Linked DNA regions of Sus scrofa. Each later gene encodes a partner of the first gene's protein in a complex. Links are inferred from orthologs where the notes say so. Each region holds a gene or a part of one and is shown on either strand. Other genes may lie near its edges.

Region 1 (3,500 bases):
GCTGGATTTTATGATGGAAAAGGGAAAAAAACAAACTTAGCACAACTGGAAAAACTGATATTATTTTAGAACTTTTGAGAAATGTTAAAGGAGTCATGCCACAAACATTTAATACAATCCTGTTGCATAATACTTAACAACATGAATAAAGAAATATATACTAGCACGTGTAAGTGACTCCAACACAGGTTGTCTGATGTTCACAGATTTTCCTTTTATTTAAAAAAATAAATATATAATAAAATGAGATTAGATTGCATTCTGCACCATTGTTTACAGCTGATGTTACATAATTCACACATTAGAGACAAAGTATAGCATGGTGGTTAGAAGTCAGAAAGGCCGTCACTGTAAACTCTATAACTTCTTTGAACCTCAAGTTTCTTAGCTGGAGAAGGAAGATAATGATAGTACCTACTTTTAGAATGTTCATGAGGGTTAAATGAGATATAATTTCTGCAAAGCATTTACCACATTGTTATTGTTACTTGCTTCTACCCTATTTTAGAGTCTAAATTTGTTTATATAATGTTTGAACAAAAAGTAGTCATTCGCAAGAAGGTTATTTGGCATTATATTTTTAATAAAAGCTAACATTAAGTAAATGTTGGAAATTGCCCAAAAATCTTATTGAGGGATTAAAATTCATCAATGCCCTTTTCCCCTTAAGATAATGTTGTTTTATTTATAGTTTAATGCATATATTCTCATATAACAATATGATTTCAATTAGTTAAAAAGTATTTTCAAAGGTCCTCCCTAATTTCAAAGAATGAATTTAACAATTTGCAATTAAATCTTTTTTTTTTTACTTGATAGGTTACAGGGGATACAGTGTATAACATGCTACGACTAACAGAAGTAGACATTGATGATGAAGAAAGACCACGTAATCCACACAAAATTAAAAGTTGTGAGGTAGGAGCATGACTGTTATGAGACACATCACCTAGATTATCACTTAAGAGAAGTTGATTATATTCTTAAATTATCAGATTAAAGCCTTATAATAAATTAATATCACAACTCAGATTTTACCTCTGTAATTTAGGTATAATTCTTGATTAAGAATTTTTTTTAATTGAAGGTTTTGAATACAACGATGAAACTAGCTGATAATTCAATGAATGAAAAACTCAACTCACAATGGAAAGCTGGATGAATTAGGCTTATTTAGCGCAATAAAGTGATTTTGTAGGTAATTTAAGAGTGATCCTCCATTGAGGAAGCAAGTACCTTAGAGTGTTTGATTTGGAGTCAGAATACCTGAGTTTGTCTCTCTTACTATGGATTATGTTTTCTTGAATTTTTTTCCCTTTTGTAAATAGGGCTAAAACATATTTACTTAATAGCTCATTGGATTACTAAGACAGTCCAATGAGCCAAGTAAGTGGAAGCACTTTATGTAGTATGTATATCACTATACTTGTAATGGTTACGTGAGGAAAAATTATAGGCACTACTAATGGCAACATAGTTAAATATTGGCTTTAATGTTTTGTGAAATTTTTAAAAATTGAGTAATGTTTTTTAAAATATTTCTTTCCATAGGTTTTGTTTAATCCTTTTGATGACATCATTCCAAGAGAAATAAAAAAGCCAAGAAAAGAGAAACCAGAAGAAGAAGTAAAGAAATTGAAACCCAAAGGCACAAAGTAATCAGAGTAGAAAGATTTTTCCTCAGCTTGAAAAGCAACACTGATTTATTTAGTTTACTTTATTTCCTTTTGTAACAATTATTTACTTCTGAGAGGGGAGGCCAGCTTGTACTGGAGAATACTATCTACATTGTGTATGTATGTGTGTGGTTTTTTTTTTTAAATGTACCTTTCTTATATTCGGATACAAAATATAAATTTTAAAACTTAAGCCAACTTGGAGTTCCCGTCCTGGCTCAGTGGTTAGCGAACCTGACTAGTATCCATGAGGATGTGGGTTCGATCCCTGGCCTTGCTCAGTGGGTTAAGGATCCAGCATTGCTGTGAGCTGTGGTGTAGGTCACAGACGTGTCTGGGATCCTGTATTGCTGTAGCTGTGGCCTGGGCCAGCAGCTACAGCTCTGATTGGACCCCTAGCCTGGGAACCTCCATATGCTGTGGGTGTGGCCCCAAAAAGACAAATAAAACAAAACAAAAATTAACATTGTGGGATATCAAGGAAAGATTTAGTTAAGTTGCTATTTTAAACTGTCAAATATGAATCAGACCCTTTAATAAGCAGTTGATTATCTTGTGGCAAAATAACTTCTCATACAGCTATGTATTTGAAAAGTCACTGTCACTGTATTCAGATATAATATTTCATCACTGTGATCTATTTTGATAAGAAGCCCAAAAGTTGGATGTTTCTGTTTTTGTTTTTAATTCATTGCAGATACATTAGGGATGATGTGGTAGTCATTGATTACATCTCAGTTTTGAAATAAAAATTCCTCTTGTGTTGCAAAATCTTTTATTTTTCCAATATTTGAGAGGAGAGTTTTAGTAACTTGTTATTTAGCTTTGTTGTGATGTTTTTAGTTTGAAGAAGCAAAAAAGACAAACTTAATTTTCTCTTCCCATGGGCTATTTTTTAGCTAAGTTTATTGCTTTTTTTATTTAACAATTGTAACAATAATTTTAAAACATTAAGATGTGTTTTGGCAGACACTAAATAAACTGTTTCCCATTTGTAGTGCTTTCAAGCTATGTATTTATTTTTTAGAAATCCTCATTTTGCTAACCAGTTTTGATAAATATAAAAAGATTTAATTATTTCTATCATGCCTGACTTAGTATATTTAATGATGGTACTCAGGATGAATTTTTGGTTATTAGTTTAGTCTAATATATGGAACATCTGTGGTCTGGGGCCAAACACTTAATATTATGCTGAAAACATAGATCTTTAGTATATTTCCCATAAATACTAAGTCATATTGTCTATTGATAGAGTGTTTCTTCTCATAAATTCTCTTCTATTGCTTTGAAAATGGGATATTTATAAATTTTATTTAACTTTGTCTTCCTATTCTTTTTTTCCTTATTTATTTATTTATTTATTTTTGATTAGAAATTTTAGTTTACTTTCATTTGGAGAGGAAGCCGAGGAAGAAGAGGAGGAAGTAAATCGAGTTAGTCAGGTAAAACTCTTAATTTGCCCTGTGTTCTGAATTATGAAAGAGTTGAGGATCTGTATCTCACTCATTTTTGTATTTCCTGCTATACATAGCACAGCATATGTTCCATGGTACACATTCACTAAGTGTTCATTGAAATGATTCATAAAGTAATTTGTGGTCAGTAATACTTGCAACTTTTAATATGATTTGAGATAGTTTTTTTTTTTAATTTGAATTTTTAAAATCAGAACCAGAATTAAAGAATGACTTCATATTTATGATTCAGATTTTAATTGCTATTGGTTTAATTGGTTTGCTAGATGATTTGGGTATTATCATTACTGTAATAAACAATAACAGACCAGAGCTCTTATATTCATTTTACTATCATTTATATATA
Region 2 (3,500 bases), on another chromosome or scaffold:
GGAGGGGCAGGGCATCACGTGAAAGGCAGACCTCACCTCTGTTGAGGCCGGTGCTCCCCACTTCCGGTTCTGTGTGGCTCTCTTTTCGCCCCGGGCTCCTCGCGTCCATGCCTGCCCTTCCCGGCTCTCTGATCTAGAGGCACGTGGTGATTCCTTTCCTTGCACGTTGCTTCTCGCTGTGTCTGGTTCTCTGCTTATTATATGAACTGGATACACTTGTGGCTGGAATTGTATGCTGGTTGAGTAATTTCTTAAGTTTAAGTTTTTTTTTTTTTTGTCTTTTTGCCTTTTCTAGGGCCACTCCCGTGGCATATGGAGGTTCCCAGGCTAGGGGTCTAACTGGAGCTGTAGCCCCTGGCCTACGCCAGAGCCACAGCAGTGCGGGATCTGAGCCGCGTCTGCAACCTACAGCTCATGGCAACACTGGAGGATCCTTAACCCACTGAGCAAGGGCAGGGATGGAACCCACAACCTCATGGTTCCTAGTTGGATTCGTTAACCATTGTGCCACAATGGGAACTCCAAGTTTAAAGTTTTTAATTAAATACTCTGAATAGGTGATAGTTGTGGGTGGTGTACAAATGCAGCAAGTGCCGAAGTAGGTGGTGAGAACTGTGCCTTGTCAGGCCCTAGTCACCCAGGTCTCTGCAGAGGGAGCTGAGGAGTCAGTCCCTTGATCCCATGGCTTAAAAATTATTTGATGTACGTAGCTGATTGTGATTTCTTATGATGCATCTATTTTGTTCTGCACGGGTCGTGTAACTTTGAGGGGCTGGACTGAGCAGGAAGCATTTGGGTGACTTGGGAGTTAAGACGGATGAGGTTTCCCCCATCTCTTTTGGGAGCGGGAGGCCAGATCTGGCCAGAGTTGGACTTTGAGGGCCTTTCCCGTACCCCGTGCCATCCCCGCAGGAGGAGCAGAAGACCATGAAGTCCAAGATGCGAGAGAAGGTCCGGCCCAAGATGGGCAAGATCGACATCGACTACCAGAAGCTGCACGACGCCTTCTTCAAGTGGCAGACCAAGCCCAAGCTGACCATCCACGGGGACCTGTACTACGAGGTCGGCAGCGGGGGCGGGGAGGGCGGGGGCAGGGCTCTGCCTTGGGTCACCACCCCGGAACGCCGGGTCCCAGGGGCTTTGGAAGCTGGAGGTGGGGCCGGTGGCCCTCTCGCCTCAGGCTCTGGGTTGTCCACTAGCTGCCCTTGGATGGGGTGGCATTTGCAGCGAGGGGTGCTTTTCTGGAGGAGGGATGCGGATCGCATCTTCGAGGCAGCAGTCGTGTATGTGGGTAGTTTAGAAACAGGGGCCGAGGGCAGATGCTTTAGGAAACATTCCCTCTTGGGGGCAGGAGAAAATTGTCTTGTTTTGGTTTTTTTGTTCTGGCCCTTGAGATGTTAGTCAGCGCGGTGTCGTGGGATTTTTGAGGCCGAAGGCCCTTGGAGACGGTCTTCTCCAAGCCCCCACCCGGGAGATGAGAAAGCCTGTCCTTAGAAGTGGCTGTGCGCTCACAGCGGGAGTGCCTGCCCCCTCCACTTCCTGGCTTTTATCATCATTCCCCACCCCCGGCGCGGCCGGGGGCAGAGGTGACGAGAACCCTGGGAACTAGGTAGTCCTCCGAGGGACTCTGTCTGCTGTGGTTTGGGACCTCTTTGTTCTCCCGCCCCCTGGCAGGTAACCTCCCAGTGTGTGTCTGGAGCCCACAGCACGGCATGCTCTGCTTTTTCCTCAGGGGAAGGAGTTTGAGACACGGCTGAAGGAGAAGAAGCCAGGCGATTTGTCTGATGAGCTGCGGATTTCCTTGGGGATGCCAGTAGGACCAGTGAGTGCCAGTTACCTGGCTGGGCAAACAGAGAAGAGGTTGGGCATGGGGCGGGGGAGCCAAGGGCTCGGGTCGGGCAGGTGGGAGCCCGTCCTCTCTCGTCCTGCAGAACGCACACAAGGTCCCTCCCCCGTGGCTGATCGCCATGCAGCGCTACGGGCCGCCCCCGTCGTACCCCAACCTGAAGATCCCGGGGCTGAACTCGCCCATCCCCGAGGTGAGAGCTTTCCTTTCTGTCCTTCTTCTAAGGGAGGAGCTGGCTCTTTAACTAGAGGAGGATTTTTTTTCTTTTCTTCTACTGTGTGTCTTTTGGCTTTTTTTCAAATTAAAGGAGTATGGTTTTTGTTTTAAGAAAACCACGAGACGTGTGTCATAAAATGGTCAGTCAGAATTGAGAACAAAGATGAAAACACATATTGCTCACATTTCACCACTCAGAAATAACCAGGTTTAATATCTGGTGAATGTATTTCCAGATATCTCTCTCTGATGTGTACATGGATGGACAGATAGAATTTTAAGAGTGGCATTAAACTTATTTTTTTTAATTTCTTTTCTTCAGAAATCTCTATATTGAGGTAATACCATTGGAGAAATAGTCAAAACTTAAAAAACCTTTAGAGAATGAACTTCATGCTGTTTTCTTTCTTTTTTTCATTAAAAATAGTAATCTATTTTGTTGCAAATTATTTTTATTTTTTACCTTTTTTTCTTTTTTTATGGCTGCACCCATGGCATATGGAAGTTCTGGGGCCAGAGATTGAATCTGAGCCGCAGCTGTGCCCTACTCCACAGCTGCAGAAAAACTGGATCTGGAGTTCCCGTCATGGCTCAGTGGTTAACAAATCCGACTAGGAACCATGAGGTTGCGGGTTCAGTCCCTGCCCTTGCTCAGTGGGTTGGGGATCTGGCGTTGCCGTGAGCTGTGGTGTAGGTCAAAGACGCGGCTTGGATCCCGCATTGCTGTGGCTCTGGTGTAGGCTGGCAGCTACAGCTCCGATTCGACCCCTAGCCTGGGAACCTCCATGTGCCGCGGGAGTGGCCCAAAGAAATAGCAAAAAGAAAAAAAAAAGAAAGAAAAACTGGATCTTTTAACCCGCTGTGCCAGGGTGGGAATCAAACCCTAGCCTCTATAGTGACCTGAGCAGTTGCAGCCAGATTCTTACCCCATTGCACCACAGCAGGAACTGCTAAGTTTGTTTTTAAATAAAAAGCAATAAAAAATTTCACAGACAACAGTCATTAAAATGGGAAAGAAGTGATTGTTAAATTTCAGATAAAAATTTCTGTTACTTTGAGTTCCTGTTGTGGCTCAATGGTAATGAACCCGACCAATAGCCATGAAGACCTGGGTTTGATCCCTGGCTTCACTCAAGTGGGTTAAGGATCTGGTGTTGCCACCAGCTACGGTGTAGGTCACAGACATGGCTCGGATCTGGCGTTGCTGTGGCTGTGGCATAGGCCGGCAGCTGCAGCTCAGATTCGATCCCTAGCCTGGGAACTTCCACATGGCACAAGCCCTTAAAAAAAAAATTCTGTCACTTTAGAGAACTAGATTCTGAAAGCTTGCCAACATTAGGAACATCAGTAAGAAGTTGGAGTCGTGTCTTGCAAAGTACATGTTTCAGTTTTAGGCAGCATGAACTCCACCCTGAAGGCTGAAGTTACTAGCAGGCTT
Region 3 (3,500 bases), on another chromosome or scaffold:
ACACAGAATCCATCAAACATGGAGGTTGCTTTTATTTTTTATTTACCCTAAAATATCTCTATGAGCTTTAGGTTTTCAGCCCCAATCTTAGTATTCAGAACAAGCCATCACTCTTTGTCTTTATAAAACTATGGCTTGATGATTTCAGTGGCATTTTGTCCCCAGACTCTCATACATGCACATTTTAATGAGTGAGTTTTAGGAACTAGTAATCTTAGCACTATATGTTCAAGACAGTATCCTCCCATCTATAAAAAGCACATACATTACTCAAGAAAGAGAATGAACTCTTTATTTCTACAGCATCTTAACATTTTGAAAATTAGTATAGAGAGGCAGTCTTATTTCTTTCCAAGAAATAATATACATCATCTTAAGATATTTAGAGATAATTCTGATTGAAGATGAGAACAAATTGTAATTTCACAAGAAAGGAAAGTTATAAATATTGGTCACTTTGTCTTACCTTTTAAACACCAAAATAAAAATGTTTTTAAATTTTAATTTTCAGGTTCTTGAATGTATAAAGCTGAGTGAAGAAACTACTACATCATCCAGTAGAATTTTTGTGAAAATATTTTTCCAAGAACTGTGTGAATACATGGGTCTTCCTAAACTTAATGCAAGGTTAAAGGATGAGTAAGTTTGTTATTCTTTTTATTCTTCCTGCCCTCAGAGGCTTTACCGCACTTTAGCAGAGGAAATCTACCCTTAGTGGTAAAAATACAAGTTCTCATGATAGTTTTCATCCATTCGTTGCCACTCTGAGTCTCCTGTATTATGTGGTACGACATGAAACTTGATGATAGTCTAGTTCTAGAGAAAATTCAGAATTAATACCTCTTTTAATTTAGTTAGAACTTTTGCATGCTCACTGGAGTTTTCCAGCAATGAGTGTTTTTAGTTTTAGTTTCATTTTTACCCTAATTTTGAGCCTTAGAATGCTAATTTTTTACTATCAATAAATTACTGTGAATATATACAAATGAGTATCACTCATGAAACTATTCAAATTTTACACTGAACTAGGGTTTTGTTCCAGGACTATCAAATAATATCAGCTTTCTTATTTACCATTTATCCAGATTGCCCGTCACCACTCACTTTGGCTTCTGTTCCATTCACACTCCTGAAGTCCTTTCTCATTTGTCTTAGTGACCACCTGCCAGTTCCAGGTGGCCTCATGCCTCTTGACTTCTTGGCCTCACACTGTTGACCACTTGTTCACTGTGGCTCCTCACTTTCCTTCATTGTGCCTTCCTCCCCTCAGTCTCTCTCTCTTGAGCCTCCCCCTCCATTGTTCGCTGAAAGTCTGTCCTGGCTTCTGTATGCTCTGGGCCAGTCCATCCCCTTCTCCTGGTTTCATGTACTTATTTATTGGTCCCTATCTGCTTGGTCAAGTTCACATAGTTCCTCTCCACACAAGTTCTGTAAGTTTACTCACCTCACAGAATTATCTCATAAGTTGCCTTCAAGCAGAATCTTAACAGCAGCACTCTGCCACACCAACACTGCCCAGCTTGTTAAGTAGTTCTGGCTCGTTCATGCATCCTAACAGAGCTGGGTATTCCTTCTCTTGTTCTGTCCATCAAACTCTTAATCATTCTTCTTACATTAAATTACCTTTACTATGAAGAATGGTTTTTCCTAACACTGCTGGTTAGGCCATTCAGTGTGGCACTGAAAACCACATTATATTGTCAATGTTTTTCTGCCTGTCCCCCTCCCTAACTGTAGTGATTGCATACAGTCTTCATCCTTGATTTCTCTTTTGTTGACTGCTTCCTCCCCTCCTCCAGTGCCTTGCAGAGCACTCTGTGTACATGGTATGTATATACACCAGAAGAGAGGGTTTTGGGGGGGGGTTTGGTTTTTTTCACTTTTCTGCACATATACTCAATGTATAATAAATAGACATATATATAGGTTTATATGTGTTCTATATATATATATTCTGAGTGTATAAGAGTGAATAAGAAAGTTTTTTAAAACCCTCTCTGTTATAGAATTATAGTAAATTATGGCTTGACCCTACTCATTTCATTTAGATAGCATACAACCAAATAAATGATTTTTAAATCACTTAATTGTATTTCATTTACTAATTTAATATATAGAAAATCTGAAAATGCAAGGATTAATATAAGGGTTTTACCTTTTTAACCAATCTGTTTTGTTCATTTTCTTTTTCTTTTTTAGAACTCTGCAGCCATTCTTTGAAGGATTATTACCCCGAGATAACCCAAGAAACACTCGGTTTGCCATCAACTTCTTTACTTCTATAGGTCTTGGAGGTTTAACGTAAGAATTATTTTCAGAAATTTATTCACCTTACAGAATTTCTCACAGTTGCCTTCAAGGCAGAATCTAATAGAAATTTTGTTTTTAATTAGGGATGAATTGCGTGAGCATCTCAAAAATACACCAAAGGTCATCGTGGCCCAAAAACCAGATGTTGAGCCCAATAAATCCTCCCCTTCCTCTTCCTCTTCTGGATCCTCCTCCTCCTCCTCCGATTCTGAATCCTCTGCCTCTGATTCGGACAGCAGTGACAGCAGTTCAGAGTCTTCTAGTGAGGAGAGTGATTCTTCATCCACCAGTAGTCAGAGCTCGTCCTCAGGTATCAAAGCTCATTTATAATTAACTCTGCCCTTTTCTCACAAGTATATTGCTGGTGGTGTTTACAAGGGAAGAGAATCATTTGATTGCTTATTTATTTTAGACTTCACTTGTTTAAAAGCCACAATTAATAATATAAACACTCATCTATCACTATTGCAGTCCATACTGAATTCAGTGTTTATAATGCTAAGATTATCTTTTGAAATACTCTTTATAGAAATGAAGATAGTCCACTGCAAATAATTTATTTGAATGCTGACTGAAATGCCATTTCTAACTTCTGTCATCTAGTTTAAGGATTAAGCTTTCCTGATGTTTATATTTTCAAGAAATTTTAATTTTTCACTTTTAATAGTGAAGCTTTATGTTAGTAATTGCCACATGCCACACATTCAGTGCGTACCTTACAAGTGAACAGCTGTATAAATTTTCATAAACAGAACACATCCATGTAGCTCGGACCCAGAAGTTCTTGTTCCCTTCCTAGTTGTTACCATTCCTCTCATCCACTGCCTCATGGCAGCTACTGTTCTAATTTGTAATTATATATTAGTTTTGCCTGCTTTTAACTTCAGAATTATATATTATGAACTCCTTTATGTCTAGCTTATCTTCTAACATGATGCTTGTGAGATTCATCCATGCTATTGCATTTAGTTATAGTTCATTCATTCTTGTTGTCGTAGTTTTTCACTATACGAATATCCACAGTATATTTAACATTTATCAATGGAAAATTAAATTTTTAGTGTTCCCATGAATACTCTTGTACGTGTCTTTTGGTGACCACATGTATATATGCCTTTCTGTTGGGTATGTAACATACCTAGAGATGGAATCGATGGGTTTTAGGTTGTATAGATACTGTCAGATGGTTT
Region 4 (2,472 bases), on another chromosome or scaffold:
CTATCTAACCGTAACTTTATACCAGAATAAAGATACTTTAAAGTTATCTTTCTCCCAGTAAAGAATTTATTTGGCCGTCATACAGGTTTTTTTAATCCATTCATCAGATGTTTTTTGAGAAACAATCTCTGCGAGGCTCTGTGGCTAGCATAACAGAAGCATATGATACAAGACATCATCTCTTTTTCATTAATATTTTTAAAAATATTACTATTTGAATTTATTGAACTTCGCATTTTGGGGTTTTCTTTGTGGATTTCATGCTACAAATAGATCAAGTAGATAGATGTCTCACCCTCAAAAAAAAAAAAAGACATCATCAAAAAAGTAGTTTTTCTCAAGTAGTTTGTATTCGTGTGGGGAAGTTCTTAAACCAAAAACTGGATATAAAGTGATAATAACAAAGAGATGTACAGGATGAAAAGAATTTACATCTGTCTGGAGTAGCCAAAGTCAATTTCAGGGAGATACTTTCGAGCTGACTTAAAAGGGAGAAGTGTTTGCCAGGGGAACAAAAGCATTCCACGCAGATGGAACAGCTCGTACAGAGAACTGGAGAGAGCAGCACGGGAACGTTTGAGAAGTAGAGGCTGAGGGCCTGTAGGTGGGGTGAAACTTGTTGGGAGGATGTCAAAATTAGAAGCTCAAAAGGAGGAGCCTGTTGTGGGGGCCTGAATGTGTCGGAACTGGTGCTGTACTTAGGTCACTAGGCGGGAAACGGCGGCCCCGCAAGCGATGAAAGAAGTTTCCACACAACTTGTAAGAGACATGGCTGGGGTCAGACCTTGAGTTTCCTGACTTCAGGGTGATCCACCCCTGGTTGTGAAACGGCTACTGTACCCTCTGTAGCTCCGAAAGCGGAATTGCACAAAGAGCTCCTTTCCCCAGTTGCTTACAGCCTTGTACTACTTGTTTCCCACTTCCTCTCGGCCCCCCATCCGCCCGAGGATGCTTCCTGCCTCCCAAACACCGCAGTCCATTCAGTCTCTCAAACCCACACACAGAGGTCCCAAGAAGTCTCTGCGAACCAACCCTCGGAAACCACAAGTCCCAGCATGCAAAGCTCCTGTTAGAAAAGGGCCGCTAGATGGACCAGCATGCAACGCTCTGCGAAGGAGGCGGGGCTCTCTATAGGGAAGGCCCACTGGTAGCGTTGCCGAGGCAACTCCAATTCCGTGACAGAATACACTTCCGCCTGGGAGGCCGGGGACCGCGAGTCGCGCTGCTTTGTCGCTGTGACGCCATCCACCTGCGGCCGCGCGTGTACAGAGGTTCCGGCGGGTGGCTCCTCTCCGGCTTGAAACCTTAGAGCGGCTTCTTCTCGTCTGCGGCTTCTGACCTGCGAGCAAAGGAAAAAGCAACGAGATGACAGACCGCTACACCATCCACAGCCAGTTAGAGCATCTGCAGTCCAAATACATCGGCACCGGCCACGCCGACACCACCAAATGGGAGTGGCTGGTGAACCAGCACCGCGACTCCTATTGCTCCTACATGGGCCACTTCGACCTTCTCAACTACTTCGCCATTGCCGAGAATGAGAGCAAAGCGCGAGTCCGCTTCAACTTGATGGAGAAGATGCTGCAGCCTTGCGGCCCGCCCGCCGACAAACCGGAGGAGAACTGAGACCTCACCGTCTCACCGCTGTACGTGAGCACCTCTCTGCGTTCCTCCGGTTTGTCGTCATTCCCGCGGGTTCCTCTCCCAAGTGGACGGATTCTTCATAGCTCTGCTTTTCGTGCTTTCTTTGTACAGAGGTCCTTACCCGGGGCGTTCCGTCCGACCTGCCTTCCTGTGGAACAAAGTGTTGGGAGACCCGTCATAACCCCTGAGAAACTGAACAGTGGAGAGATCCTAAAGTCTGCAGACGTTAGAGGAGATATGGCTGGAGTGAGATGGGATTAAGAGGCTCGTTTTTGGCTAGTTGACTGTCTTCGTTGCTTTTTCTATAAAGTTTAGAAATGTTTCGGTCTCTTGGTGTGGACTACTTGTGTTCTGGTGGAGGGGCCAAGGAGGGCTCTGGGACTGTGGTTTGCCGGGTGGCGGGGGGTATAAAGAAGGGAAGGGTTGGGGAGGGGTTCAACAGTAGCACAGGGCCAAAGTTCGTTGCCAGACACTTAAATACGCTCTTTATAATATTCTCCAACCCTGACTTCTCCCAGGAACTTTTCTCAGGCCCTTAACACATTCACTATTGAGGTTTGTGATCACTGTGTCCTTTTTCTTTCATACAAAAAAAAAAAATCTTGACTCGCTTTGCCTTCTCTCTGTAGATTACACCTCTTTCTTTTGGAAATACGTGGACATATCTTGAGTATTGACAAACTGTCAAATTAGTTCTTAAATTCATTCAGCAAATACGTGTTGAATTTTATGTGGCAGGCTTTAAGGACCTATATTACACTGGTTGGGGGAGCAGAAGACCACAAAATTTGCAGACATAAGCAAGCACATGTTGGAGGGTGCTGTGGA
Region 5 (4,102 bases), on another chromosome or scaffold:
TCAAATTGGTTAACCAATCTAAGTCTCAGTTTCTTCACCTATAAAAAGGGTATAATAATTGTATGCTTGATAGGGATGTGACGATCAGATGCGCTAATGGATGTAAAGTCTTTAGTATAGTGACTGGTATAATAAATAAGAGCTGCTCACCTCCACCGGGATATTGAGACAGGATTTGTCTCAACCAGACAGTGCAACACGAGATGGGACCCTTGTCAATTAATTTATCACAATTAACTAATTTAGACACAATTAGGAAAATTTCAGGTGAAGTTGCCCAGAGGGCCACTATATCCTCATGAGGAATAAATCTTTTCTGAGTGTCTGCGTCCCAATCCTGGAAGACTCACCGTCACCCCGTATTTGAGTGCTAGTCCAGCCAGGGTGTCTCCGGGCGCCAACTGATGCTCCAGGCGTCTTTCCCTCACCGGGGAGCAGGCAGACTGCACAAGGCTTCCATAAGAACGAGCCCGGCTCCCTTGAAGCAGTCCTGACCCCCCGAGGGGGGCCTGTCTAGAGGGAGAGGCCATCTCCTCACCCTGCGGACAACTGGAGTTGCAACTGCGGGAGGCCCGGCCAAGTGACCGATAGTGACAGGCCCGGGGTCTGGGAATGAAAATCTGGAGGATTCCTTTCCCTTTCTGTGTTCTCTCCTAAGTCTCTCCGCCTTCCCCCCACTAGGCGACCTCTGACTCCTGGCTTCCCCGCCTTCCAAGGCCTTTTCCCACAAACCTGTAACCTGACTGTTCAGTCCCTACCTGAGTTTCTCCTTAGTACCCCTCCGACTTTCGATCCCCCACAACTCGCGACATTGACCTCTGACCTTTGACCACTAGACACCCTCCTCTACACTACAGAGTTTGCCCCCAGGTCGGTCCGCCAGACCTCCCAGCCCCCAACCCCGATTCCGCGCGTCCCGGGCTTGGTCGCTAGGGTCGGGAACTAATCAGGCCCACTCCAGGTGGGCTGTGGCCTCAGGCGAAGGGCGTGATGACCGCGAGAATCTGTAGCACACTTTCCCCTGAGAGATCCTCAAAGGTACGCTCCGCATCAAATCAGTCACACTCTCAAACTCGGGATCCACAGCTAGGTTCCTCTTTCTCCAAACGCCTCTAATCTGCCAAGATGCAAGGGCCTGAATCGGGCAGGGCGGCAAGCTCTTTGAAAAAAGACTTCATTTCCCAAAAGGCTCCGCGCCGGCGGGGTCGCAGAGCACCATAGGAAATGCAGTCCCCTCTATGGGCTAGAGGCGGGTTTTCGGGATCGCGCGGCGCATGCGTGGAAGCGCATCCCGGAAGTAAGGGGGCCAACCGGAAAGAGACAGGAAAGAAAGGAGACGTCCCACTCTTGCTACGGTGGCCTGAAAGGAGTGGCGAACGCGGCGCGATAAAACTTATATTTCTGGGGCTCTCACAGTCGTGATGTCTTTCAAGAGGGAAGGGGACGATTGGAGTCAACTCAATGTGCTCAAAGTAAGCGCGAGAGGAGAGCATCTGGAGCAGCTTCAGTTGCCGTCTGAAGGCTGTGAGGGAGCTGTTTTGTTGCTGTGGCAACAACTCGGGGGAGGGGGGCGGAGGAAGCCAGACGATTGGAACTGGGCCGACACCCCTTCTTCAGCCCAGATCTCTACCCTTCTTGTGGCCTTTATTCCCTTTGAGTCCTCGTCCTTGTCATTTCCTTTTTGTTCCTCCCTCATATCCAGCTGACCCCGTCCTCATTTCTTCCCTTGTTCCCTGCAGAAACGGAGAGTCGGGGACCTGCTGGCGAGTTACATCCCAGAGGATGAGGCGTTGATGCTACGGGATGGACGGTGAGGACTAGGAGTGGATCAAGCCTGGGGGTTCTGCGGTTAGAGGCTCAACAAACTTTTGTTATTAAGCAGATTGGAAAGAACAAGGAATCTTTGGCGGGGAGTGAGTAACAGGGATGTTGGTGGTGGAGACTGGGAGACTTGGGATTTGGGCTTTGGAAAGGAGTTCTAGGCTGTGGTGGAACCTATGGCAGAGACTCCACTCCCCAGGAACCAATTATCTTCTCTCCTCCTCTCTAGCTTTGCTTGTGCCATCTGTCCTCACCGACCGGTACTGGACACCCTGGCCATGTTGACTGCCCACCGTGCAGGCAAGAAACATCTGTCCAGTAAGTTTGTGGGAAGACAGAGCATAGAGAATAAACCCTTAAAGGGTTTATTCACTCTGGGTGCCCTCCTTTTAATTCTCTTTCCCTTTCTCCTGAGGCCTGCAGCTTTTCTATGGCAAGAAGCACCCAGGAAAGGGCCTGGAGCCAAATCCAAGACAACAGAATGAATTGAGGAGAGAAGAGACCAAAGCAGAGGTAATCAGAGAGGGGAGGGTGTGTTCCAGGCTGCACACCTTAGGCTTGAAGGCTCTGGATTCTTTCTAGCTCTGAAGGTTCTGACTTTGTCTCCCATCTCCATGCCAGGCTCCTCTGTTAACCCAGACTCGACTTATTACCCAGAGTGCTCTGCACAGAGCTCCTCACTATAACAGTTGCTGCCGCCGAAAGAACAGGTCTGTGGGGTGGGTAATCCAGAAGTAGGGAGGAACAGGAGATCGATCGCTCTAAAGTACTGTTTTCCAAATTGGATTCTGAGGAATACTAGTGTTCTGGAAATGCTAACTTGAATTTCAGGAAAAAAGAATTTTGTTTGGGAAATAGGATTTTGTAATCCTGTTTGACGCATAGTAATATTACGAGTTCCCATCATGGCTCAGCGGTGAACAAACCCGACCAGCATCCATGAAGATGAGGGTTTGATCCCTGGCCTTGCTTGGTGGGTTAAGGATCCAGTGTTGCTGTGAGCTGTGGTGTAGGTTGCAGACACAGCTCGGATCCCATGTTACTGTGGCTGTGGTAAGGGCTGGCAGCTGTAGCTTGCATTCACCCCTAGCCTGGGAGCCTCCATATGCCACAGTGCAGCGCTAAAAAGACCAAAAAAAAGAATAGTAACAGTATATTTTCAGGGTTCTACACAGTCTTAAAAAAAAAAAAGCTGAAAAAACTAACTTAGGCTTTCCTTAAGTTCATTTGATTCCAAAATCCTTTTTATGCAGAACACCTGTTAATATCTTGAGGAATACAGTTTAGGAAGCACTGCTTTAAGGGGTTGGGAGTTACAGGAGATTTGGTCCTTTCCTTTACTGCTTTTACAGACTTTGATTCTTCTCTACCCAGACCAGAAGCCCCTCGTCCCTCTGTCTCTCGTTCCGCTTTTTCACCCCCAGAGGTTGAATCCCAAAGTGAGAGGATCAGTAGGGAACTTGAGCCTGCGGCTGCATCACAAACCAAGGAATCAGCCACTGTCTCATCCCCTGCACCTATGAGCCCCACAAGAAGACGGGCTCTGGATCATTATCTCACCCTTCGAAGGTGAGTGTACGGAATCACTTTCCTCAGATTGTCCCTTTTCTCTCTGGCTCTCCTTTTTTCAAACCTCAAATATTACTTATCCCTACTAGCTTTTGGGGGGGGCGGGAGGCCATGCCCACAGCATGCAGAAGTGTGCCACAGCAGTGACAATGCAGATCTATAAACTACCGAGCTACCAGGGAACTCCGCTACTAAATTCTTAACACATTTCCTTTCCTGATCGATTCTGTTTGTTCTGATATTTCCAGTTCTGGATGGATCCCAGATGGACAAGGTCGATGGATAAAAGATGAGAATGTTGAGTTTGATTCTGATGAAGAGGAACCCCCTGATCTCCCCTTGGACTGACACTCTTTCCCCATTCAGTTCACAAATAAACTATAGTGGGCGCTGGGAGCCTGACTTTCCTTGAGTCTGGTTCCTTGTCTCATTTCAGGATTTCAGGTCTGTTCGTTCTCAGCCTGGCCAATATTTCCCTGCAATGTACACAGCTCCCCATACTTCTAGCCCCTCCCCCCACTTCTACCAAAGTCATGCCAAGCGTCAGCTGCATGCAGCCCGGTGCCCTAAAATAAGTCTGTCAGAAGGAGGTCTTTGCCCTTCATGTTGTCTGACTTCTTCCCCACCTCCACTCAGAGTCTTTTCCTCCTTCAAATGACATGAAGTTTTTGGGTAGGCACTGGGTGGGGTGGGGGTGGGAGCTGGACAGGTC
Region 6 (3,944 bases), on another chromosome or scaffold:
ACACAGTCTGGCTTCCACTTGCCTCCAGCTTCATCTTGTACCACACTCCCCTTTATTCTCTTTGTCCTGGCAACACTGGCCTCTTTGTACCTTTTAGTCATTTTCCTCTCATTTGCCATTGGGCCTCTGCACATGCTGTTCTATATGGAATATTCTGCCCTCCTCTCTTCCCCCAACTAATTAGAATTCTTCCTTCAGGCATAGGTTCAGGCATCTTTTTGTTAGACAAGTCTTCCGGCTTATTTCTGGCACTCAAAACACCAGGTACCTTTCCCTGGCAGCACTTACTTTGCATTCCCTATAAAGATCATTGTTGAGCATCTGTTTTTCCCATCGGACTCAAAGCCCTGAGGTCAGGGACCATGTTTGGTTCACAATGTCTCCTCAAAGCTTTGCACCATAAATATCAGTTGAACGATTAAGGAGAAAACCTACTTCACAAGTATGAGTCTGAATTTCTCAGCCAAGACTGTGCTCTGGAGACCAAGAGTCGGACATTTCCTTCATCTCTCTCTCTCTCTCCCTCTCTCTCTCTCAGGGGCACAGAGCAGGCGCTGGTAAAAGGCTGCAGTATCACGGCAGAAAGAAGTCGGCCTCCAAAGTCTGAGACGACCCTGGTGGAGGCTGGGAAACTGACCTTTTCTCCCAAGGAGCACCTGGCACAGGGCTCGACACAGAAGGCGCTTGTTAAAGAAAGCAGCCGTCGAGGGCCCCAGGCAGGCGCAGAGACCCCACTGCTCTGCTCCAACCTAGAAAGGGAACCCAGGCCACCATACACCAAGAGCTAGGAACTCAGGGGCCCCCTCTGCCCTCTGCGATCAACCCTGGGCTGAGAGAGGCCAGCTTCAGACCACACAACGGAGGCGCCGCCTCCAGATTCCGCAGCCACCCACCCCCAACACTTACTCGGAGTTAGCGTCAGGTCTCCCCGCCGCAGCATTGCGCGAAACGCCAGAACCCAGTCAGCGCGCTTCCACCCACAAGACCCAGCGCGCCGAGGCGGGACTCCAGCTCGTTCCACCAATCCTGGAATCGTACTCTAGTGACATCAGAATGAGTTGCCCAATAACTGGAGACTCCCCAGGGGGCGGTGCAGAGGGGAGTATTGGAAGCCGATTGGTTTCTCCAAGCCGGAAGTTCTAAGGGAAAGACTAAGTCGGAGCCAATCGTGCGCTCCCTGAGGGTGTCGGCGCGGTCAGTGGCGGCCTGAGGAGAGCGGTTGCCGCCATGATAGAACAGCAGAAGCGCAAGGGCCCAGAGTTGCCTCTGGTCCCAGTCAAGCGGCAGCGGCATGAATTGCTTTTGGGAGCGGCGGGGTCGGGCCCGGGAGCCGGGCAGCAGCAGGCGGCGCCGGGAGCTTTGCTGCAAGCGGTGAGTAAACGAGCAGATGGCCTTCGGCCCTCAGCTCATCTTCCTGTCTCCTCAGTGCTCCACCGTGAGATCCCGTACCGGCCCTTTCCCTGCACTGCGGGGGCGGAACGGGACTCACACCAGGGAGTTAGAGCAGAAAAACCTGTTAAAGCGGTCAACACCCTGCGATGCTACGTTTCCCCGTTTGACGTTTCAGCGTCTCGATGGCCCTGTGAGGGGGCGTTAGAATTAGTGAGGGATCTTAAAACTGGGCCCCGGGCTTTCGCATCCTAAATCTTCCAGGGATCCAGCATAGAATAAACGTTCAGGAAAGTTGAAAGAGTGGATGGATGAATGAAGGAAGAAAGAAAGGAAGGAAATGAACGATACTAGCTCGCTTTGGGACTTGGGGCAACTTGCTTTGGGGAAAACTCTTTCTCTGCACTAGTATTAACAACTGAAGAATAGGTAACACTTATTGAGCCATGTACTAAGTGTTTTGTATATGAAAACTCCATTAATCTTGGTCACTGCCTAAGAGGTAGGAATTGTTAATTGTCCCATTTTGTAGATGGGGAAACAAACTTCTCTAATAAGTGATAGAAACCGATTTTAAAATCAGAATCCAGGCTTTTAACTAGAGTTCTTATAAGATAGAGGTAGTGATGGATGACATCTCTCCTTCTGCTCTATTAGGCTTAGCTGAAGAATATATGTCCCCTCCTGAAACTCCTCAATCAGGCTGTCAGCAAATCTTTGCTGGCACCATCCTTAAAATAAACCCAGATTTGTTACCACTTCTAAATATCTCCATCACTACCTCCTGATCTAAGCTGTTATTCTCTCACCTAGTATTCCTGCTGTAGGATCCTGATGGCATTCCTGTTTCTTTTCTCAGATGCTCATTCTATTCTCAGTCCAGCAGCCGGAGGAATCCTTCTAAACATCAAATCATGTTAACCTCTGCTGAAAACATGCCATGGCTTTTCGCTTCACTCAGAGTAAAACTAAAATCCTAACAACCTTTTGCCCTCTTTCCCTTGACCTCTCTGATCTACCAATTTTCCATTGCTCACCTTACTCCAGTCACATTGGCTTCTATGCTCCTACCACACACAAAGCCTTTGCATTTTCTTTTCCCACTACTGGAGTGTTCTTTTTCCAAATGTCCACCTGGTTTACACACTCAGCTCCTCCAAGTCTCTGCTCAAATATCGCTTTTTCCATGAAGGTTTTCCTGACCAACCTGTTTTAAATTGCATACCTGGGTACTCACTAACACATTGCTGTTTGGTTTTCTCCATGGTACGTACCACCACCATCTATACCTTATACTTGTTTCTGCCATCCCTCCCTCCTTTCTGTCCCTCCCTCCTGCTAGAATACAACCTACATTGTTTATTTTGTTCAACACTGTTTTCTCAATGTCTAGAACAGTGCCTGACACATAGTATTTTTTGAGTAAATGAATAAGCTGGAAACTACTGATGAGATTTAGGAATTATTAATAGTGTATTTGTTCTTTTGGTTTTTTTTCTTTAGGACAGCACCCATGGCATATGGAAGTTCCCAGGCTAGGGGTCAAACCAGAGCTACAGCTGTTGGCCTACGCCACAGCCACAGCAACTCAGGATCTGAGCTGTGTCTGCGACCTACACCACAGCTCACGGCAACGCCGGATCCTTAACCCACTGAGCTAGGCCACAGATTGAACCCATATCCTCATGGTTCCTAGTCAGGCTTGTTAACCACTGAGCCATGAAGAGAATGCCAGTGTATTTGTTCTTCCATCTGACAAGTAAGAATATCAGCTCAAGTTTCTGTGAATTGCCCAAGCCTAGGCTTAGTGGCTAAAACCGTAAACAAGACTACTTTCCTTAGTAACCTTGTACCCTGCAAGGTTGTTGGGAAGCTCAATTCAATCATTCATTCATTAAATGAACTAGAAACTGGGAAGACTGTTGAATGACTCTATAGGGTTCCTGTGGTCACAGAGCTTTTCTAGTGGCACAGTAGGGGAGACACTGTAAACAAGTAATGAGGAAGGTAATTTCAGGTAGTTAGAGAAGTGCTGTGAGAGGTGTTGCCGTTGTGGTGCAGCAGAAACGAATTCGACTAGGAATCATGAGGTTGCGGGTTTGATCCCTGGCCTCACTCAGTGGGTTAAGGATCTGGCGTTGCTGTGGTTCTGGCATAGGCCGGCAGCTGTAGCTCCCATTAGACCTCTAGCCTGGGAACCTCCGTATGCTATGGGTGCAGCCCTAAAAAGCAAAAAAAGAAAAATGAAGTGCTGTGAGAGAATCCCTAAGGTTGATAGCATGTAGAAGGGAGGTGGAAGAGTGCTGCTTGAGTTTGAGTGTTCCAGGAAGGACTTTCTGAAGCAGAAATGTTTGAGAGGAGTCACACACAGGAAGATCTAGGGGAAGGGGTTTCTGTCTTGTTCCTGCGGGTTCAGCTACAAGTATAAGAGATCCTGAGGCAGAAATGAGTTTAACATGTTTGAGCAATCAAAAGTAGGAGCGCAGTGAGGGAGGAGGAGAGTTAGCATAACAAACAGACCCTGGAAACTTCAGAAGAAGAGAATCTAATTAGAG
Region 7 (2,810 bases), on another chromosome or scaffold:
GAATCCGACTAGGAACCATGAGGTTGTGGGTTCGATCCCTGGCCTTGCTCAGTGGGTTAAAGATCTGGCATTGCCATGAGCTGTGGTGTAGGTTGCAGACGCGGTTTGGATCCCGAATTGCTGTGGCCCTGGCGTAGGCTGGTGGCTACAGCTCCAATTCGACCCCTAGCCTGGGAACCTCCATATGCCGCAAGAGCAGCCCAAGAAATGGCAAAAAGACAAAAAAAAAAAAAGAGTTCCTGCACCACAGCAGTGACAGTATCAGATCCTTTAACCACTAGGCCACCAGGGAACTCCCATTTTTCGAGATTTTAAAAAAGATACCTACACAGTTGCCCCTTGAACAATGTGAGTTTGAATTGCACTGGTCCAGTTACATGCGGATTTTTTTCAACAGCAGATACTACAGTACTCCATTTCCCCTTTAGGCTGACTCTGGATGTGGATGTGGACTCTCAAATACAGAGGAACCACATACACAGAGGGCCGACTACAACCGCTCAAAGGGTCAGTGCCCCTAAACCCCCACGTTGTCCAAGGGCCAACTGTAGTACAAGTTTCTTCTTACACATCTTGCATATTCCTAACGTTTATTCCTAGGTATGGAATAATTTTTGTTATAATAATAACTATCTTTTAAATAAGATCTTTTATTTTTTTTAAATTTTTTTTACTTTTTTGTCTTTTGTCCTTTTAGGGCCACACCCACGGCATATGGAGGGTCCCAAGCTAGGAGTCTAATTGGGGATAAAGCTGCCAGCCTATACCACGGCCACAGCAACTCCAGGTTTAGTCTCATCTGTGACCTACACCACAGCTCACGGCCATGCCGGATCCTTAACCTGCTGAGCAAGGCCAGGAATCGAAGCCGCCACCTCGTGGTTCCTAGTTTGATTCATTTCTGCTGCACCACAATGGGAACTCCCAAATAAGATCTTTTAAAATAACTATTGTGGGAGTTCCCATCGTGGTGCAGAGGAAACGAATCCAACTAGGAACCATGAGATTGTGGGTTCAATTCCTGGCCTCACTCAGGGAGTTAAGGATCCGACCTTGCTGTGAGCTGTGGTGTAGGTCACAGACGCGGCTCAGATCTGGCGTTTCTGTGGCCCCGGTGTAGGCCGGCAGCTGTAGCTCCGATTAGACCCCTGGCCTGGGAACCTCCACGTGCCTGAGTATAGCCCTAAAAAGAAAAATAAACAAACAAGTGAACAAATAAATAAATAAAATTACTATTGTGTTTTTATTTTTGCATAAGAGAAAGCTAGCTTTCTTCCTTTCCTTTTTTTTTTTTTTTTTTGGCTTTTTAGGGCCACACCCACGGCATATGGAAATTCCCAGTCTAGGGATCTAATTGGAGCTGCAGCTGCTGGCCTACACCACAACCACAGCAATGGCAGATCCGAGTCACTTGTGACCTACACCTCAGCACACGGAAACGCCATATCCCTGACCTACTGAGCAAGGCCAGGGATCGAACCCGCATCCTCATGGATACTAATTGGATTGTTTCCACTGCACCACAACAGGAATTCCACGTAATTATTTTGTATGTGACTACTTAACTCACTCCGTTAGTTCTATTTTTTATATATACTTCCCTATAAGTTTGCCTATAGGTGTTCTTGTTTTTGAAGCTCTGAACACGGGCTCACACTGTTAGAACTATAGTTGGGCAGCAGCCTAGGGGCCTAGGGCACCTATTCAATGTGGTGGCCTTGCAAGTGACCACCACTGATAACCTTATTTGTGTGGGACATTTTGCTCTGAATGCCAAAGTCCAAATCACAGATGACTTTTTTAAATAAAAATTTTATTGGAGTATAGTTGACTTACAGTGTCGTGTTACACAAATGATTTTTCAAATGCAGCTTTGTTCATAGACTGTGGACTGCCTTTCATTTCCTGAATCTCTTTGGATATCAGGAACGTGAGGATCATCCCCGGAGAGGCCGGGAGGATCGGCCGCACCGAGAACCCTCAGGACAGGAGCACAAGCGCGCTAGGAACAGTGACCGAGACAGACACCGCAGCCATTCCCACCAAAGGAGAGGCTCGAACGAGCGGCCTGGTGGTGGGCAGCCCCAGGGGCGGGATCGAGACATTCAAAACCTGCAGGCACAGGAAGCAGAGCGGGAGTTCTATAACGCCCGGCGCCGGGAGCACCGCCAGAAGAATGAAGCCAGTGCTGGTAACACATCTCAGGACTCACTTGCAAGGCCTGGCGGCAACAACAAAGACAAAGAGGTGCCTGCTAAAGAAAAGCCAAGTTTTGAACTTTCTGGGGCGCTTCTGGAGGACACCAACACCTTCCGGGGTGTAGTCATTAAATATAGTGAGCCCCCAGAAGCACGTATCCCCAAAAAGCGGTGGCGCCTCTACCCCTTTAAAAACGATGAGGTGCTTCCTGTGATGTACATCCACCGGCAGAGCGCTTACCTCCTGGGCCGACATCGCCGCATCGCAGACATTCCCATCGATCATCCCTCTTGTTCAAAGCAGCACGCCGTCTTTCAGTACCGGTGAGTGTCCATCTGCAGAGAGAAATGGAAGTGCCATCAGAAGCCAAATGTCTTGGTTAGGATTATTGGGGTGGGGGTGGGGGTGGGTGTGTGTACACATACACGTGCAGAAGCCTATGCCCCTCGTGTCTAATACTAGTCTCAGTTTCTACCTACTTGCAAGGCTGTTACGAGGATTAAGTGGAAGTAAAACTAAGGATGCCTGGCATGTGTTAGCTGAATCTGTATCTTGACAGGTTCCGTAGCACATCTTTTATTGTTGGATGTTCACAACAATCCTGTGGGGAG

Evidence for each region.
Region 2: CWC27 (region 1) and SF3B2 share a complex: the UniProt entries of both Homo sapiens proteins name them as parts of the minor spliceosome. The link is inferred for Sus scrofa from reciprocal best matches to the Homo sapiens genes CWC27 and SF3B2.
Region 3: the proteins of CWC27 (region 1) and CWC22 are in contact, whole or in part, in a crystal structure (PDB 6YVH), measured with the Homo sapiens proteins. The link is inferred for Sus scrofa from reciprocal best matches to the Homo sapiens genes CWC27 and CWC22. Residues at the interface, in NP_005860.2 of Homo sapiens: Arg381, Glu382, Asp383, Gln384, Thr385, Leu386, Leu388, Leu389, Phe392, Lys393, Lys395, Leu396, Thr397, Ile400, Glu412, Asp415, Asp416, Glu417, Gly418, Trp419, Met420, Ser421, His422, Val423, Leu424, Gln425, Phe426; in NP_001362958.1 of Homo sapiens: Leu239, Arg242, Lys243, Tyr245, Arg246, Asn248, Asp249, Lys250, His270, Glu271, Val272, Leu275, Glu276, Thr279, Leu280, Leu281, Glu283, Arg284, Thr286, Asp288, Ser289, Val292, Val307, Ser308, Pro309, Arg310, Gly311, Thr367, Met369, Leu372.
Region 4: CWC27 (region 1) and SF3B5 share a complex: the UniProt entries of both Homo sapiens proteins name them as parts of the minor spliceosome. The link is inferred for Sus scrofa from reciprocal best matches to the Homo sapiens genes CWC27 and SF3B5.
Region 5: CWC27 (region 1) and SCNM1 share a complex: the UniProt entries of both Homo sapiens proteins name them as parts of the minor spliceosome. The link is inferred for Sus scrofa from reciprocal best matches to the Homo sapiens genes CWC27 and SCNM1.
Region 6: CWC27 (region 1) and SNRNP40 share a complex: the UniProt entries of both Homo sapiens proteins name them as parts of the minor spliceosome. The link is inferred for Sus scrofa from reciprocal best matches to the Homo sapiens genes CWC27 and SNRNP40.
Region 7: CWC27 (region 1) and SNIP1 share a complex: the UniProt entries of both Homo sapiens proteins name them as parts of the minor spliceosome. The link is inferred for Sus scrofa from reciprocal best matches to the Homo sapiens genes CWC27 and SNIP1.

The regions. Positions count from the first base shown.
Region 1 is NC_010458.4:43,366,964-43,370,463, forward strand, and holds part of CWC27 (peptidyl-prolyl cis-trans isomerase CWC27 homolog), read left to right. Parts: intron 1-819; coding exon 820-918; intron 919-1,551; coding exon 1,552-1,655; intron 1,656-3,051; coding exon 3,052-3,121; intron 3,122-3,500. UniProt on the Homo sapiens protein: As part of the spliceosome, plays a role in pre-mRNA splicing. Probable inactive PPIase with no peptidyl-prolyl cis-trans isomerase activity. As a component of the minor spliceosome, involved in the splicing of U12-type introns in pre-mRNAs.
Region 2 is NC_010444.4:6,283,651-6,287,150, reverse strand, and holds part of SF3B2 (splicing factor 3B subunit 2), read left to right. Parts: intron 1-912; coding exon 913-1,062; intron 1,063-1,732; coding exon 1,733-1,822; intron 1,823-1,931; coding exon 1,932-2,039; intron 2,040-3,500. UniProt on the Homo sapiens protein: Component of the 17S U2 SnRNP complex of the spliceosome, a large ribonucleoprotein complex that removes introns from transcribed pre-mRNAs.
Region 3 is NC_010457.5:85,546,838-85,550,337, reverse strand, and holds part of CWC22 (pre-mRNA-splicing factor CWC22 homolog), read left to right. Parts: intron 1-511; coding exon 512-639; intron 640-2,199; coding exon 2,200-2,301; intron 2,302-2,393; coding exon 2,394-2,620; intron 2,621-3,500. UniProt on the Homo sapiens protein: Required for pre-mRNA splicing as component of the spliceosome. As a component of the minor spliceosome, involved in the splicing of U12-type introns in pre-mRNAs. Promotes exon-junction complex (EJC) assembly.
Region 4 is NC_010443.5:21,230,043-21,232,514, forward strand, and holds SF3B5 (splicing factor 3B subunit 5), read left to right. Parts: upstream 1-1,221; 5' UTR 1,222-1,365; coding exon 1,366-1,626; 3' UTR 1,627-1,646; intron 1,647-1,755; 3' UTR 1,756-1,972; downstream 1,973-2,472. UniProt on the Homo sapiens protein: Component of the 17S U2 SnRNP complex of the spliceosome, a large ribonucleoprotein complex that removes introns from transcribed pre-mRNAs.
Region 5 is NC_010446.5:98,079,575-98,083,676, reverse strand, and holds SCNM1 (sodium channel modifier 1), read left to right. Parts: upstream 1-1,302; 5' UTR 1,303-1,421; coding exon 1,422-1,472; intron 1,473-1,739; coding exon 1,740-1,810; intron 1,811-2,050; coding exon 2,051-2,139; intron 2,140-2,236; coding exon 2,237-2,334; intron 2,335-2,442; coding exon 2,443-2,531; intron 2,532-3,195; coding exon 3,196-3,390; intron 3,391-3,638; coding exon 3,639-3,738; 3' UTR 3,739-3,833; downstream 3,834-4,102. Other genes in the region: LYSMD1 (lysM and putative peptidoglycan-binding domain-containing protein 1), read right to left, coding at 351-530. UniProt on the Homo sapiens protein: As a component of the minor spliceosome, involved in the splicing of U12-type introns in pre-mRNAs. Plays a role in the regulation of primary cilia length and Hedgehog signaling.
Region 6 is NC_010448.4:87,876,824-87,880,767, reverse strand, and holds the start of SNRNP40 (U5 small nuclear ribonucleoprotein 40 kDa protein), read left to right. Parts: upstream 1-1,144; 5' UTR 1,145-1,227; coding exon 1,228-1,371; intron 1,372-3,944. UniProt on the Homo sapiens protein: Required for pre-mRNA splicing as component of the activated spliceosome. Component of the U5 small nuclear ribonucleoprotein (snRNP) complex and the U4/U6-U5 tri-snRNP complex, building blocks of the spliceosome.
Region 7 is NC_010448.4:93,599,360-93,602,169, reverse strand, and holds part of SNIP1 (smad nuclear-interacting protein 1), read left to right. Parts: intron 1-1,926; coding exon 1,927-2,522; intron 2,523-2,810. UniProt on the Homo sapiens protein: Required for pre-mRNA splicing as component of the spliceosome. As a component of the minor spliceosome, involved in the splicing of U12-type introns in pre-mRNAs. Down-regulates NF-kappa-B signaling by competing with RELA for CREBBP/EP300 binding.